Linked DNA regions of Mytilus edulis. The protein of the gene in region 1 purifies or fractionates together with the protein of each later gene. This does not show direct contact. Links are inferred from orthologs where the notes say so. Each region holds a gene or a part of one and is shown on either strand. Other genes may lie near its edges.

Region 1 (7,546 bases):
CATTACATCTGTTCCTACATTCGTCAATTTATTCCTGTTTCAATTTCAGTTTCTTGTGTTGTGTGTCCAGGTGTCCTCTTATTTTTATTTTCATCTGCAATATTTTCACCTGATTCCTTTTTTTTTGGTTCCTTTTATCTGTGTTTGCCTTCTTAGTGTTATTTTATATCTGTGTCTTTGTTATCGCACATGTTTTTCGTGTTTCTAACAACCTCCATGTGTTCCTTTCTTCCTTGTTTGTTAATGTGTTCTTACCTTGTTCTTGTTTGATAATGTGTTCTTACCTTGTTGGTCTTTGTGTTAAATATTCTGATGATGGAGTCTCTCCCAGCCGAGTATAATCTGTTAATAAGTGGGTCAAACTGAAGGGAGTTAATCCCAGATCTGTGATGTCGTTCAACTTCATCTCGGATAACAAAAGAAACCTAACAAATAAAAAAGATGAAACTGTTAATAAGTGGGTCATTAATATTCTGCAATTATGTGTTCCATTGATCCAGGATCTTTGATCTGGTTATAACAGTGATACACCAGAAATGGTCCTCATTATTTCCAAGCTGTGAGAGAAAACTAAAAAAAAAACCTTTTTGTCGAGCCTACGACTTTAGTCGAAAAAGCGGGACTAAGCGATCCTACATTCCATCGGCGTCGGCGGCGTCCACAAATATTCACTCTGTGGTTAAAGTTTTTGAAATTTTAATAACTTTCTTAAACTATACTAAATTTCTACCAAACTTGGACAGAAGCTTGTTTGTGATCATAAGAAAGTATCCAGAAGTAAATTTTGTAAAAATAAAATTCCATTTTTTCCGTATTTTACTTATAAATGGACTTAGTTTTTCTGCGAGGAAACATTACATTCACGCTGTGGTTAAAGTTTTTAAAATTTTAATAACTTTCATAAACTATCCTTGATTTGTACCAAACTTGGACAGAAGCTTGTTTATGATCATAAGATAATATCAAGAAGAAAATTTTGTAAAAATAAATTTCCACATTTCCATATTTTACTTATAAATGGACTTAGTTTTTCTGCGAGAAAACATTACATTCACTCTGTAGTTAAAGTTTTTAAAATTTAAATAACTTTCATAAACTATCCTTGATTTGTACCAAACTTGGACAGAAGCATGTTTATGATCATAAGATAGTATCAAGAAGAAAATTTTGTAAAAATAAATTTCCACTTTTCCATATTTGACTTATAACTGGACTTAGTTTTTCTTCCAGTTAACATTACATACAGTCTGCAGTTAAAGTTTATAAAACATTTATTAGATTCATAAACTACATGTATCCTGGATTTTTTTACCTACTTGGAAGCTTCTTTCAATCAAAAGACAGTATTGAGAGGGAAATTTTTATTGATGTTTTTCCTCATTTTTGTTGAGTCTGCGATTAACAGCAAAAGTAGGCGAGACACTGGGTTCCGTGGAACCCTTAGGAATTTTTATTTTATTAATTTAATCCCATTACTAGTAAGCTTAAAATCTGAAATTTATAAAAATTCAAAGATTGAAAGGGCACTTAAGTCAATAGATGTATAAACAATTCACTAAAATTTCAGGAAAACTACTCAAAGCATTTTTAAAATTAAAAAATATTGTTGGAAAAATCCCCCTTTTTGTAATGAATAGAACCTGATAACTTAAAAACATAAACTCTAGAATTTATAAAAATCCAGAGGGAGCTCATGTCAATATATATGTAAACAATGTGCCAAAGATTCTTGGTAAAATTGTTTTTGAGTTATTGTCTGAAAACTGGGAAATCCCACTTTTTGTAATGAATAAAAAACCCAAACTTGGACATGTAACATCTAAAATTTATAAAAAAGAAAAGGAGCTCACGTCAATAGATATACAAAATTCACCAAAGATTCATTGAAAATTTCCAACATGTTGACGACGGACAACCATAATACGTCACATAAACAGGCCTAAGAAAATCAGGAAAACATCAAGCATGAGAAATAAAATCATAAACATTAATGAAAAAAATACTTGATTATGCAGTCATAATTTAACAGAAATGATAACCCTGCAGTCAACTTTTTTGTGTCCATAAGTTGCACCTGGTTTTGAAAAATATATAATTTATAGTAATCTCATGGACTTTATTGCATATATGTACCATACACATACAATATCTGGGCAGAATTAGTATGGTTGACCTTTGAATCAAATACAGGACAAGCACGAGAAATAAAAAGTACCAACACAAAAACACAAGGGCAAAAACGGAGAACGCACATCTACTTTAACACAAAAACAAGAAATTTTAAAACGTCAAAACTGGAAATCAAGTGAAATAAAACATCTGAAAAACTTGCATGTAAATAACACTTTTCATTTACATAAATATACATTGATAGGGCCATAATAAATAATAGGTTTGTTTGCCCTAACGCTACCTACCCAGAAAATAAAAACTGCCTACTCAAATTCTTTTATTGTCCTGATTTGAAGAATTTTTTTTTAATCAAATAGGCATGAAGACTAATAAACATCTGATACTTCAATTTCTTTTTTTGAAAAAAAAAAGAAAATGCCTACCTACCTACCTACCCACTGTCTCAACCTTTGGGTAGGGTTTGGGCAAACCAATATATTTTTAAGTATGGCCTAGTGGATTTTTCCATGGACTTGGATAGAAAAAAGTGCCTTGTTTGGTAGCTCTTATCAGTTAGGTCCTTATATTTTTTTACTGGTCTAAAGATAGTAAAAAAATATCACGAGGACCTAAGAGATACGGTAGGCAAATAGTCATACAATATCATAAGGACCAGACTAAGAGCTACGGTTCCGCAGCTACACATGTATCATATTCATAGTATGTGTTTGGTATAATTTTTTTTTTTATCTCACTCTTCTGACTTCTTAAATAAAAAAGTACATTGTCCAAAAGTATCCACGTCTTTCTATATGTATTAAGTTCTTCAGAAACAAATATATTTTGCACCAAACATTTGTGATAGCTTGTCAGTCACCTGAACTTTCTTTTTGCCTTGTCCTGCCGAATTTCTGTGGTGTGTAGCCATTGATAACATGTGAAATACGTCACTAAATTCGGGAATAATTCTAACCGTAATTCGGTATCGGAAGGACTAGCCTAATCCGGATTCACAAAATTTTGTCTCCAGGTTTTCTAATGATAAAGCTGGAGATAGTAACTCTAGCGACCCAAACCCACTTCTTCTCTATTCAATAAAACATATTTTAATTCTTAGCACGAAATATCTCATTTTTTTTTCATCTAGCTCTGCTGCGTTCAATTTTTTATACATTTTTTTTACATTAACCGATTAAATTATCTCAATTGTTGAGTTTATACCAACTTCCTATTAAAAAGATAAGAAATAAACACATTTACAAATATCTATAAAATACACTGTCTTTGGATAAATATTTTAACGCTGACGCTATTTTGTGGAAGTTATTTCAACTGAGAGTACCTCAGGGGAGAGTACAAACCATGGGGAAAAGCTGTACGGCATATCACATTCTAATTATCAGATTTTATCATATGTTGTTTCGATAGTCAGTCTTTGCTAAATTTTTGTAATAAATTGTAACTCATAGCATTACAAAAACAGATCCGCTATAAGTGGTGCACAGTTAGTCCCAATTGGAATTCCGATAACCTGCAGACGATATACGGAATCTCAAAAGCGAACAAAAATGTTATCTAGTAAAAATTCAAGGGCATATATAGTATCAAAGCATGTCCAATTGACAAAGTTTTGTTTTTTTATTGCTACCAAAAAATTACCTAAAAGAGTAATTAAGTTGAACATATATATTCACATTCAGACTTTTTAAATGCCCATTTAATTAGGTGGGTGAATTTTTTCTTAATGAGAATGTGAGGCAAATTATGTGGTATACAGGGTAGAAAAATCAAAACTTTAACAGATATAAAATCACCAATATAAGCATGCAATTTATCAAGTACTTCCAACGAGTTCTTGACACTCCAAAAGTAATTAATTCCACTATTTTCGAAGGCCTTATTTGAACAATTTATTATCAGGTTTTTGATTGTACCAAGTGTACTGGTAAGAAGAATAGACAATTTAGTAGTGGAACAATGGCTTGCCTGAAGACGAAATAAATCTATATTTGTAAGGTGTTTTGTGTAGCTTCGGAATCCAATACATAGTTGGGACTTTCGTTGTTTTTGGTTCTGCTTGTAATGACGGCGTGCACAGAGTTGACGGCAATTGTAAAATGCGCTTTTAAAAGTAGCTTTATACAACCATGTAAATCATACATTTCAAACAGGAAGTTTTTTTTATGATGAAAGGATGAACACTAGCCATTAACATCCAAATTATTAAAAAAAGTTCTCAAAATAAAATCTATGAAGTATGAAACAAACATGGAAACGGCAAAAACATATGTAACTTGTAACATTAAATAAGCATAAAATAGAGTTTTTGACCTGAAATTTGTACAAATTTAACGTACTTTCTTGCATTTCGTACAGTAGATATTTTAGGATTCAGACTATAAAGTCAAACGAACTTTACCTAAAAAAAATCCAAATTGGCCATGGAGGATGTGTTGGAAATGAAGTTCGTTATATGTAAGAAGTAGACATTTTTAAAGCTTAATATTAGAACATGGAAGAATCGTTAAAATAAATATGTACTTGCTATTTTCATATTGCGAAATGACTTGATATTCTAAATGTGCATAAAAAGAGGTTTCAAAAAATTGCAATATAAGAAGGATTCGATAGTCCAGACTGAACACCTGAATTTTCCAAACTGTCCAGCCATTATGTTACAGATTAAAGAAATGACGTTTTAACGCTATTTTTGTTATTAGGGTCCATGACATAGTCGCTAATTGTCTCCATTACACTGTTCTAAGCATATTTTTTTTTTAACATTTTCAGAATGTGCATTTGCTGTACTTTGTTATTCGAAAGAAAAAGAAATATGTTGAACGTTTATGTTTAAAGTTATGTGATAAACTAATTGTCCAGTGTTTTTGTTACGCTTACGTTTTCTGGGGGAAAATAGCGGTAAATGATTTTAGTAATTTAAAGACGTTACGTTTTTGGACTCAGCTTTGTGCACGCCATCAAAGTGGTAGCTAAAAGTTTATGTTTATTACAGATGTCGTTTTCTGAAAATGGAGTCAGTTGGAATGTTGGTGAATTGGTGATTTCTTTTTTCAGAACCTCAATGTAACAATAATAATATTATAAGCAGCTTTATCGATCGGGACAAAAACAAATTCCTTGGCTAGTTCTTTTAGTTTATGTTTGATACGAGAAATAGGTTTATTGTGGTTATTGTTAATAGTAAAACTATTTTATATTAATGCTATATTAATATCTCAAAGATTAAATGAAAATACTGTCTTTCCACAATATATCGACAATGGTCTTCTGATAATTTGATCGATTAGAAAATTATTCCTACTACATGTTTGAAAATTTATGTTTATCTGTTTATATATAGATATAGCAAGATGAGGTATGAGTGCCAATGAGACAACTATCCATCCAAATAACAATTTATAAAAGTAAACAATTATAGGTCAAGGTACTGCCTCCAACACGGAGCGTTGGCTCACACCGAACAACAATATTTCAATATTGCTCTTTTACACATGCGTATGACTCTGGTCTGGCTGAGGCCAATAAGAATATAGAACTAGAGGCTCCCTAAAGCTTGTGTCGCTCACCTGATTCTATTTGGGATTTTGAAATATTAAAAAATGTAAAAATTTGTAACAGATACTTATAATGATGTTTTAGGCAAAATTTGGTTTAATATTGTTTTTTTTGGTTACATTTCTTTCAGAAGTTCTCTTAAAAAAGACATTTGTGTGTATTTCCTATAGGGTACCATGTTCAACTAAGTCCCCGTCTGGCGGTCATCTTGGATAATGGATCTGCTACAAAGTAACAACACTTGGTCAGCACCTCATAAGGAACATTCATGCCATGTTTTATTTCATTCCATTCAGTGCTTTTCTAAACATGCTAAAAGAAGACATTTGTATGTATTTCCCATAGGGTAGTGTGTTAAACAGAGTCCCCCGCTGGCAGCCATCTTGGATGATGGATCGGCTACAACGTAAACACACTTGGTCAACATCTTATAAGGAACATTCATGCTATTTTTGGTTTCATTCAATCTTATTAAAATAAGTTCTCATCACTTGCTCCTCGATTTTTTATATGTCGCCGTGTCACAACGTAACAACACTTGGTCAGTACCTCATAAGGAACATTCATGCTATGTTTGGTTTCAATCCATTCAGTGGTTCTCTAAAAGAAGACATTTGTATGTATTTCCTATAGGGTCCGAAGTTTAACCAAGCCCCCCCCCCCTGGCGGCCATCTTGGACGATGGATCGGCTACAACGTAACAACACTTGGTCAGTACCTCATAAGGAACATTCATGCTATGTTTGGTTTCAATCCATTCAGTGGTTCTCTAAAAGAAGACATTTGTATGTATTTCCCATAGGGTACAATGTTAACTAAGTCCCCCGCTGGCGGCCATCTTTGATGATGGATCGGCTTTCGTAACAACACTTGGTCAGCACCTCATAAGGAACATTCATGCTATGTTTGGTTACAATCCATTCAGTGGTTCTCTAAAAGAAGACATTTGTATGTATTTCCCATAGGGTCCCATGCTAAACTAAGTCCCCCGCTGACGGCCATCTTGGATGATGGATCGGCTAAAAAGTAACAACACTTGGTCAGCATCTCATTAGGAAAATTCATGCTATGTTTGGTTCCATTCCATTCTGTGGTTCTCTTAAAAGAAGACATTTGTATGTATTTCCCGTAGGGCGCTGGCGGCCATCTTGGATGATGGATCGGCTACAAAGTAACAACACTTGGTCAGTACTTGCCATGTTTGGTTTCATTTAATTTAGAGGTTCTCTAGAAGAAGTTCAAAAATGTAAAAAGTTTACGACGACGGCCGACGATGGACGACAGACGCCAAGTGATGAGAAAAGCTCACTTGGCCATTTGGGCCAGGTGAGCTAATAAAGTTGATTATATATCCATATCTATATATGATTGTCAAAATAACACATGTCTCTCAATTTTAAAACATCATTATAATAAGTCTTCAGAACTTATGGAACCTTTAATTGGAATAAAATATATAAGCGTGTAAATATTTTTATAATCTTGAACGAGCATTAAAACTATCATTTTTTTTTAAATTCAACACTTTACCTCGAAAGTTACAAAAAAACTAAAAACGTGTCTAGATCCGTTGATTTCCACAATTGAAGGAGCGCACATTGTCAAAAAGTAAAGGTAATAATGTATCTTCTAATGTATTCGCCATGGAAATATATGCATGTGTAAGCATGTTTTGTTTTGTAAGGGTTGTTACTTTTAGTTATGCGGAGTGTCGTTCGTGCATACATATTTTGACAATATTGAAAATTATTGTTATTTTTTGGCTGCGCTAACACACACTAAAAAGGTACTAAGACAAATTATTTCTAATTAATTGTTGGTGCAGTCTGGTCACAATAGCTATACGTCCATGAAACCA
Region 2 (7,123 bases), on another chromosome or scaffold:
AATTGATCAAGATTTCTAACAAACCGGATGATTATTTAAATAAAACTCCTTTAAAAGTAAATAAATTTTAAGCATAAGGTAATGAAAATAAAAAACTAACATAAAAAAAAATGAAATTTCTTTGATTTTTTTTTTCTTTCTTTAATTTCATACATAAATAATGGTCATTTGAAAGATGAAATTAGGTGCCAGGAGATTGTGAGAATGCAGGATTTTGCTCTATTTATGTCAGAGCTTCTGGGGGCCTTGAGCTGCCCCCAGACCCCCTGCCGTAAGGCACCAAGCTTACAGCTTGGTGGCCGTCCGGCTTCGCCGAACGCATGTTACAGCCGCCTATAATTTTAATTGAGCCTTCTACTTCAATTTCAATGGAAAGCCCTGCTTGAGTGAAGCATTCGATCACTTGAGACTTATAGGACATTTCCGTTTTTTCTGGACAAAATTGGAAAATTAATGATGGTTCTGTAGGACTCATGTAGGACTAGGTGGTTGAAAAAAATTTCAGAGTAACTGTAGGGTTACACTAATGTCCTGACAAAGTCCTGACAGAAATGTAAATGCTTAATACTTTTTTGTTATTGGAAGGATTTACTTGAAATTTGGAATCAAGCAAGATGAGAACTTGTATTTAATAAATAAAATAAAAAAATAAAAAAATAAATAATTTAAGACTTAGAAAACTTGACCTGACCAACTTGACTTCGAAAATACTATTGTCCTGACCGATATGAAACGGCTAAAAAATAATTTATTATTGACAGGATAGACTTCAAATTCGATATTAAGGAAGATTAAATCATTTATTACAAAAATATAAGAAAAAAAAAATAAAAAAAAAATAATTTTAAGAGTTAGAAAACTTGACCTGACCAACCACGTCCAACCGTGACTAATGTCCTGACCGATATAAAACTGGTAATTTATTTCTTAAATTCCGTCGGATTGACTTCATATTTGACACAAGACAAGAAAGTAACATTGAGTAAATACTTATTTGAAAAGAATTGGGGGAAAAATACTTAAGAGGTAAGAAAACTTGACCTGACGAACATCGACTTTGTTGTGAGTAAATGTCCTGACCGATATGAAAGTGCTAATACTTGCAACATTGTTGGTATGATTGAGTGCTTAATTGAAACTAAGTCAAATTGTAACATTTTTATTTTTATACTTGTTCCAATAAATTGGAAATAAAATATTTCAATGGAAATAAATACTTTAAAAAGACTGAACCCCTTAAACTTAATACACAAACAACAACATTATTAGTTCTTACCTTATATTGTTATTGAATTTATTTATTTCCTATCCATAAAATACAACATCCAAAGCAAATAAATTTTGTTAAATGAAAAGATAGGGGAAATATGAGTTGCTGAGTGACTGTGAGTATTGTTTACCCCTTTGTTTCACAAATCTACTTCTTATTATAAATTTGATTAATAACTCAGAGTGAATAATGAAACTAATTATTGAATTAATAAACTCAATTAAAAATTATAAAAATGTATAGTGATTAGCTACCTATTGATTTTAATAAATAAGTAAATTGAAAGTTTTTTTTTCTTTCTTGGTGCAATAACTCAGTTAAAAAAAAATGTATTAAAATAAAGGCAAAGGAAGGTGACAATAATCAATAGAATTAAAACACACCTATATTAATTACTATAATCACAATTTGAAATGTTTTCTTTACAATCAATAAGTTATTTTTTGTTTTATCTAGTTATTGAGTGATTATACATGTCATATAAAAGCAGGAAATGGGCTTCGTTTTGTTTGAAAAGGATGTGTATACAAGCATATACATTAATATTATATTGGAATCACAAAGAAATACAATAAATTAACACACAAGTTCAAGTTCATAATTAATTAATTGGATTAACAAATAAGTGATTAATCTTATCATCACAAGCCCCTAATCAGATTGACTAATAGAGCAATAAGAGAATGTTAACATGAATAAACAATACTCACATTCAGCAACTGCAACTGGGCCTAACATTTTTCTTTCATTCATTTTAACTGTATCTTTCGTGTTCAATGTTGTTTTTCATATTATTGTGATCGGATATTTTAATTTCACTAATTTAAGGTAAGAGGTTAACATGTTAGAAAATTTATCAAGTCCTACAGTGGTCAGGTCAATATTATTTACCCTTGCAATAATTGTTAACTTTTTTCTTTTAGTCATTTAAAAATTTAATAAGATAATGATAGTTTTCAAACTTAAAGACATTTATTTAAGTAATTAACATAGTCATTCTATTTTTTAAAGATACATGCCTTTTTTCGGTGAATAGCCTATGTTGGTCAGGTCAAGTTTTTTGGTCTTTTCAACATTTTTTTTCTTTTTATTTCTTTTGATTTCTTTGTTAAATGTTGCAAACTTCTTAACTACTCAATTTGAATTCATTCATTACAATAACAAAATAGATAGAATCATTTTTATATCGATCCGGACATGAGTCACGGCAAAGGTGTAGTTGGTCAGGTCAAGTTTTCTAACTCTTAAAAAAATTTTTTTTCTTTTTTTTCCTGATATTTTTGTAATAAATGATTTAATCTTCCTTGGTATCGAATTTGAAGTCTATCCTGTCAATAATAAATTATTTTTTAGCCGTTTCATATCGGTCAGGACAATAGTATTTTCTAAGTCAAGTTGGTCAGGTCAAGTTTTCTAAGTCTTAAATTATTTTTTTTTAATTTTTTTAATTTTATTTATTAAATACAAGTTCTCATCTTGCTTGATTCCAAATTTCAAGTAAATCCTTCCAATAACAAAAAAGTATTAAGCATTTACATTTCTGTCAGGACTTTGTCAGGACATTGTCAGGACATTGTCAGGACATTAGTGTAACCCGTAACTGTAAAGTAAACAGATAAAAATTCGGTTATGATGAAAAATAATTAAGCAACACCCTTTGAAATAGCTACTATTACAGAATTCGTCCCTTTTATTGGTTAAACTCCTCTCACACTAATTATCGTATATTAACCTCGCAGGTCTTCTATCTGACATTTTGCATTTTCAATGTTTATAAATATTTCAATTTCCCTCCTCATACGCCGGAACTTGAAATGAATCACTGTTTCGAATTACAAAATTGTAAATGATTACTATTTTTTGTTTGATTGAAATAAAAAATAGTTTTTAAAAATAATTGGTTATTTTTTGGACTGTTTATACTAACATTTTCTTTGCAATTAAATTTTTGATATTTTCGAATCCGGGTTAAACACTCGGACGTGGGCAAACTTTGTTTAGAAGATCGAAAATTAGATGTCCACTGATTATTTAGGCAGTTCTGAAAAGTCAGAAAACGGCCAAAGTATAAGTCTGTATTAACAACTCCAACAGACAATAGTTTCCTCACTTTAACTTTATAAAGGTGTGTATAATTTATAAAAACAAAAAGGGGGTTGGTAAAGCAAAAAAGGAGGGGGCGGATCTGTGTCTGAGCGAGAAGTGATACCCCGAAATTCCGACAGTTAAGTAGTCTGTCAGTCCGATATTCCGTCGGTCCATTAGTCCAATGATCCGATACAACAACAGTGCGATGGTATAACATGGAGGCGTGATGTGTAAAGCCAAAAGAATGTGGATATCGTCTTCATATCAGAGGGGCAGCAGTGGCGGATCCAGCCATTTTAAAAGGGGGGTTCCAACTATATGCTCCCATTCAAATGCATTGATCGACCAAAAAAAAAAGGGGTTCCAACCCCCGGAAACCCCCCCCCCCCCCCCCTTGATCTGCCACTGAGCCGACCATTTCGGTGTTTTTAAGATCGGGATCAGGATCTGAGAATTCTCTTTTTGAATTTCAGGATGTCTGGATTTAAATTTCTTTAAATTAAGGACCTCGATATTTCATGTTTTCAAACCAGAAATTTCAGGATCAGTACCCCTCCGACCCTCCCCCCATCATATAAGCTTGTATATATTATTAGTATACTGTCAAAACACGAGAAGTGTTTAAATTGAAAAAGTGGAATGCATTGTAATAGGATCCAATAGACCACTTTCGAGTTCATCCGTCACCGGCAAAAACTCGTCAATTATGCACGCCTTTATGACGTCATTTACCAGATAGAGGGGGTCGCCTGTATCCCTGCACTATTTACGTTCATCAAGCGTCTTAGTGATCGTCTTTGTGCAGGATAAACTAGAAATAATGGTTGCTCTGTAGGTACTTACTGACAATTCCCTAATGACAGCAGTGTTGATTGTCAATTTTGAGAATTCAATTTGCCGAATAATTCGTATAATATAGAATTATAGTTTTCCAACCACTCGCTCAACATTGGAAGGGAAGTGACGACGCCCCAAAACGCACAAATGACGGTGATAAAAGGGCGTATAATTGACGAGTTTTTTCCGGTGACGGATGAACTCGAAAGTGGTCTATTAAATCCTCTTCTATATATATGAAGAATGACTGTTTGCATACAAGTACATGCGCTTGCATGTTACGTATTATGTTACGTATTATGTTACGTATTATGTGGTTGAATGTGAAATGTCACATGTATAAGATGTACATGTAGGCTTCTCATATCTGAGGGGTGTTAGGCCCAAAGATATGAGACAACTTGGACATTGGATTGATTTACATTGAAGTAGAAGACAGAACTTATTCACACACTGACACAGCAGTCAAAGCAGATAGTCCCTGGTTCCATTCTGACCCTCGTTGCGAGAGTTTTCATCAATTTACCCTTCTTCTCACATCTCTGGTACCAAGACCAAAGTAAAAACTTGGGGCTGTAATAACAACCACAGTTGAGTTTTTTTTAATTTTTTTTTTATATAAATAAGGGAAGTTACAAGGATGAGGAAGGTAACGAAGTCACCTATGCATAAGTATTAACTACATGATAACAATTGAATGATGTTACAGGGGCCTCAGACATGGAAATCAATCATCTAGTATGAGGTACATAATACTTCATAATTAACTTCTATATGTTAAAGATAACAATGGAGGGTTGTGCACCTCCTAACCCTGTCATACTCTGTGTGTGCCTGTCCCAAGTAAGGAGCCTGTAATAGGCTACTTTTAAGTAATGTCCCTCACCAGAAAAACTTGTGCTTCATGACATTATTTCCTAGAAAGAGGGCATTGCCTGAATCCCTGCACTATTAAATTTCATCAAGCATATTTGTGATCGTCATTATGCAGGATAAACTAGAAATAACATATGTTCTGTATCATAGTTTCCTATTGACAGCAGTGCGGATTATCAATTATAATAATATAGGGTTATTGCATGAATATTGGGGAATATTGTCCCGAGTAGAATTTTATATTGCACGAGCTTGCGAGTGCAATATATGTTCTACGAGGGACAATATTCCCCAATATTCATGCAATAACCCTTTTATTGTATAGCAATATAATATTTGAAAGGAAAAATTGGTTTAAACTAAGATTTTGTCATTGATGACGTCATGAATTTTGAATATTTATTGCACTAGTGCAATATTAGAATTTATTGCATGCTAACTTTTGGTTACTTTCTGTTGGAAATATTATATTGCTATACAATAAATTAAAATTATAGAATGATTGGTGCAATGTATTTAAAAAAAAGCATCATATTTTTCAATCACTTGCTCAACATGGGAAAGAAATGGCAAAGCTGCTGAATGCATGATTGATGTTCATTAAAACCAATTTTTTTTTAGAGAATTGCCACAAACTCAGATCACAAGTTGTCTTTTCAGTGGTTGTCTTTTGCTGTTGTATATTGTATTAGTATTTCATTCAAGTCTATGCAGTATGGGCTTTGCTGATTGTTGACCGCTGTTAAGGCTGTATGGTGACCTATAATGTTAACATCTATGTCATTTAGTCTCTAGTGGGGAGTTGTCTGTTGGGTTCATTATAGTAATCTAATCTTAATCATGCATGGGATATATTCTGGACACCTGATGAAGACAATTTGTCACCTTTTTTTTAAAGGACATTTTTTATGTCTCATATGTAAAATAAACGTAAATGTATAAGGCAGTACATCAAATTTATTCTACAAAAGCAGGAAAGACATGCAATTCTGAGTATCATTCCACTTCCTAAAAATCATTTTTTTTATTTTTCAGATTTTTATGTAGATTTGATAATATTCATTTAATCAATAATGGATAATGAGTCAGAAAAAATGGTAAGAATTTTATATATAAGCCCAAGACAAAATGGGGATGAAATAAAGTTAATTGGATGGACCCATACATGTAGCTAAAACTACTTGATAATGTTACCCAAGCCATTAAAGTGAAGATGTGTCTTAGCTTCTTAGGTCTAAAGATTTCTGCATTTATTCCTCAAAATGTTAGCCATATTTGCAGTGGTGTATTCAGTCATTTTCTAAAGTTGAAGGATACAATTTATAATTTTAAAATATTAAATCAAACAATAACATAATTTTATATGAAAATGATAAAATTCTCAGTGATCCTAAAGAGGTATCAGAAATTTTCAATAAATTTTTCATAAATGTGGCTAAAGATATAGGAGACAAAAACATTAAAATAGACAGAAATCATCCAAGTATAATAAAAATTGAAGAAAATAAAAATGATTATAATGAGTTGAATTTTAAACCTGTAGCAGAAGAGTTTGTGAGTAAACAAATAAATAGGTTAAATATAAGAAAAGCCACTGGATATGACAATATTTCACCAAAAATTATAAAATTGGCACAGCCAGTAATAGCAAATCCTATTAAAATTTTAGTTAATAAATCAATTGAAAGCTCAATTTTTCCTGATAATCTTAAAGCTGCTCAGGTTTCCCCACTTTTTAAAAAGAATAACTCTCTTGATAAAGAAAATTATAGACCTGTAAGTGTGTTGCCATGTATTTCTAAAATTTATGAAAGAGCTATTCATGACCAACTATTAAATGGAATTCTTAAATAAACATTTTCATCCTCTTCTTTCGGCATTTAGGTCAGGTTTTGGTTGCCAAACTGCACTTATTAAAATAATAGAAGACTGGAAAAAAGCTCTGGACGAGAACAAATTTATTGCTGCAATTTTGATGGATCTATCTAAAGCATTTGATTGTTTACCTCATGATTTACTTTTACTTAAATTAGAAGCATACGGTCTGTCTAA

What was found.
Region 2: the proteins of WD repeat-containing protein 48-like (region 1) and RAD51-associated protein 1-like purify together in Homo sapiens (affinity purification with mass spectrometry; 5 studies listed by BioGRID and IntAct, counting the BioPlex papers as one, with this or other methods). This does not show direct contact. The link is inferred for Mytilus edulis from reciprocal best matches to the Homo sapiens genes WDR48 and RAD51AP1.

The regions. Positions count from the first base shown.
Region 1 is NC_092355.1:81,255,503-81,263,048, forward strand, and holds the start of WD repeat-containing protein 48-like, read right to left. Parts: upstream 3,059-7,546; 5' UTR 3,050-3,058; coding exon 2,990-3,049; intron 426-2,989; coding exon 285-425; intron 1-284. UniProt on the Homo sapiens protein: Regulator of deubiquitinating complexes, which acts as a strong activator of USP1, USP12 and USP46. Enhances the USP1-mediated deubiquitination of FANCD2; USP1 being almost inactive by itself.
Region 2 is NC_092350.1:13,501,368-13,508,490, forward strand, and holds the start of RAD51-associated protein 1-like, read right to left. Parts: upstream 3,107-7,123; 5' UTR 3,026-3,106; coding exon 3,003-3,025; intron 1-3,002. UniProt on the Homo sapiens protein: Structure-specific DNA-binding protein involved in DNA repair by promoting RAD51-mediated homologous recombination.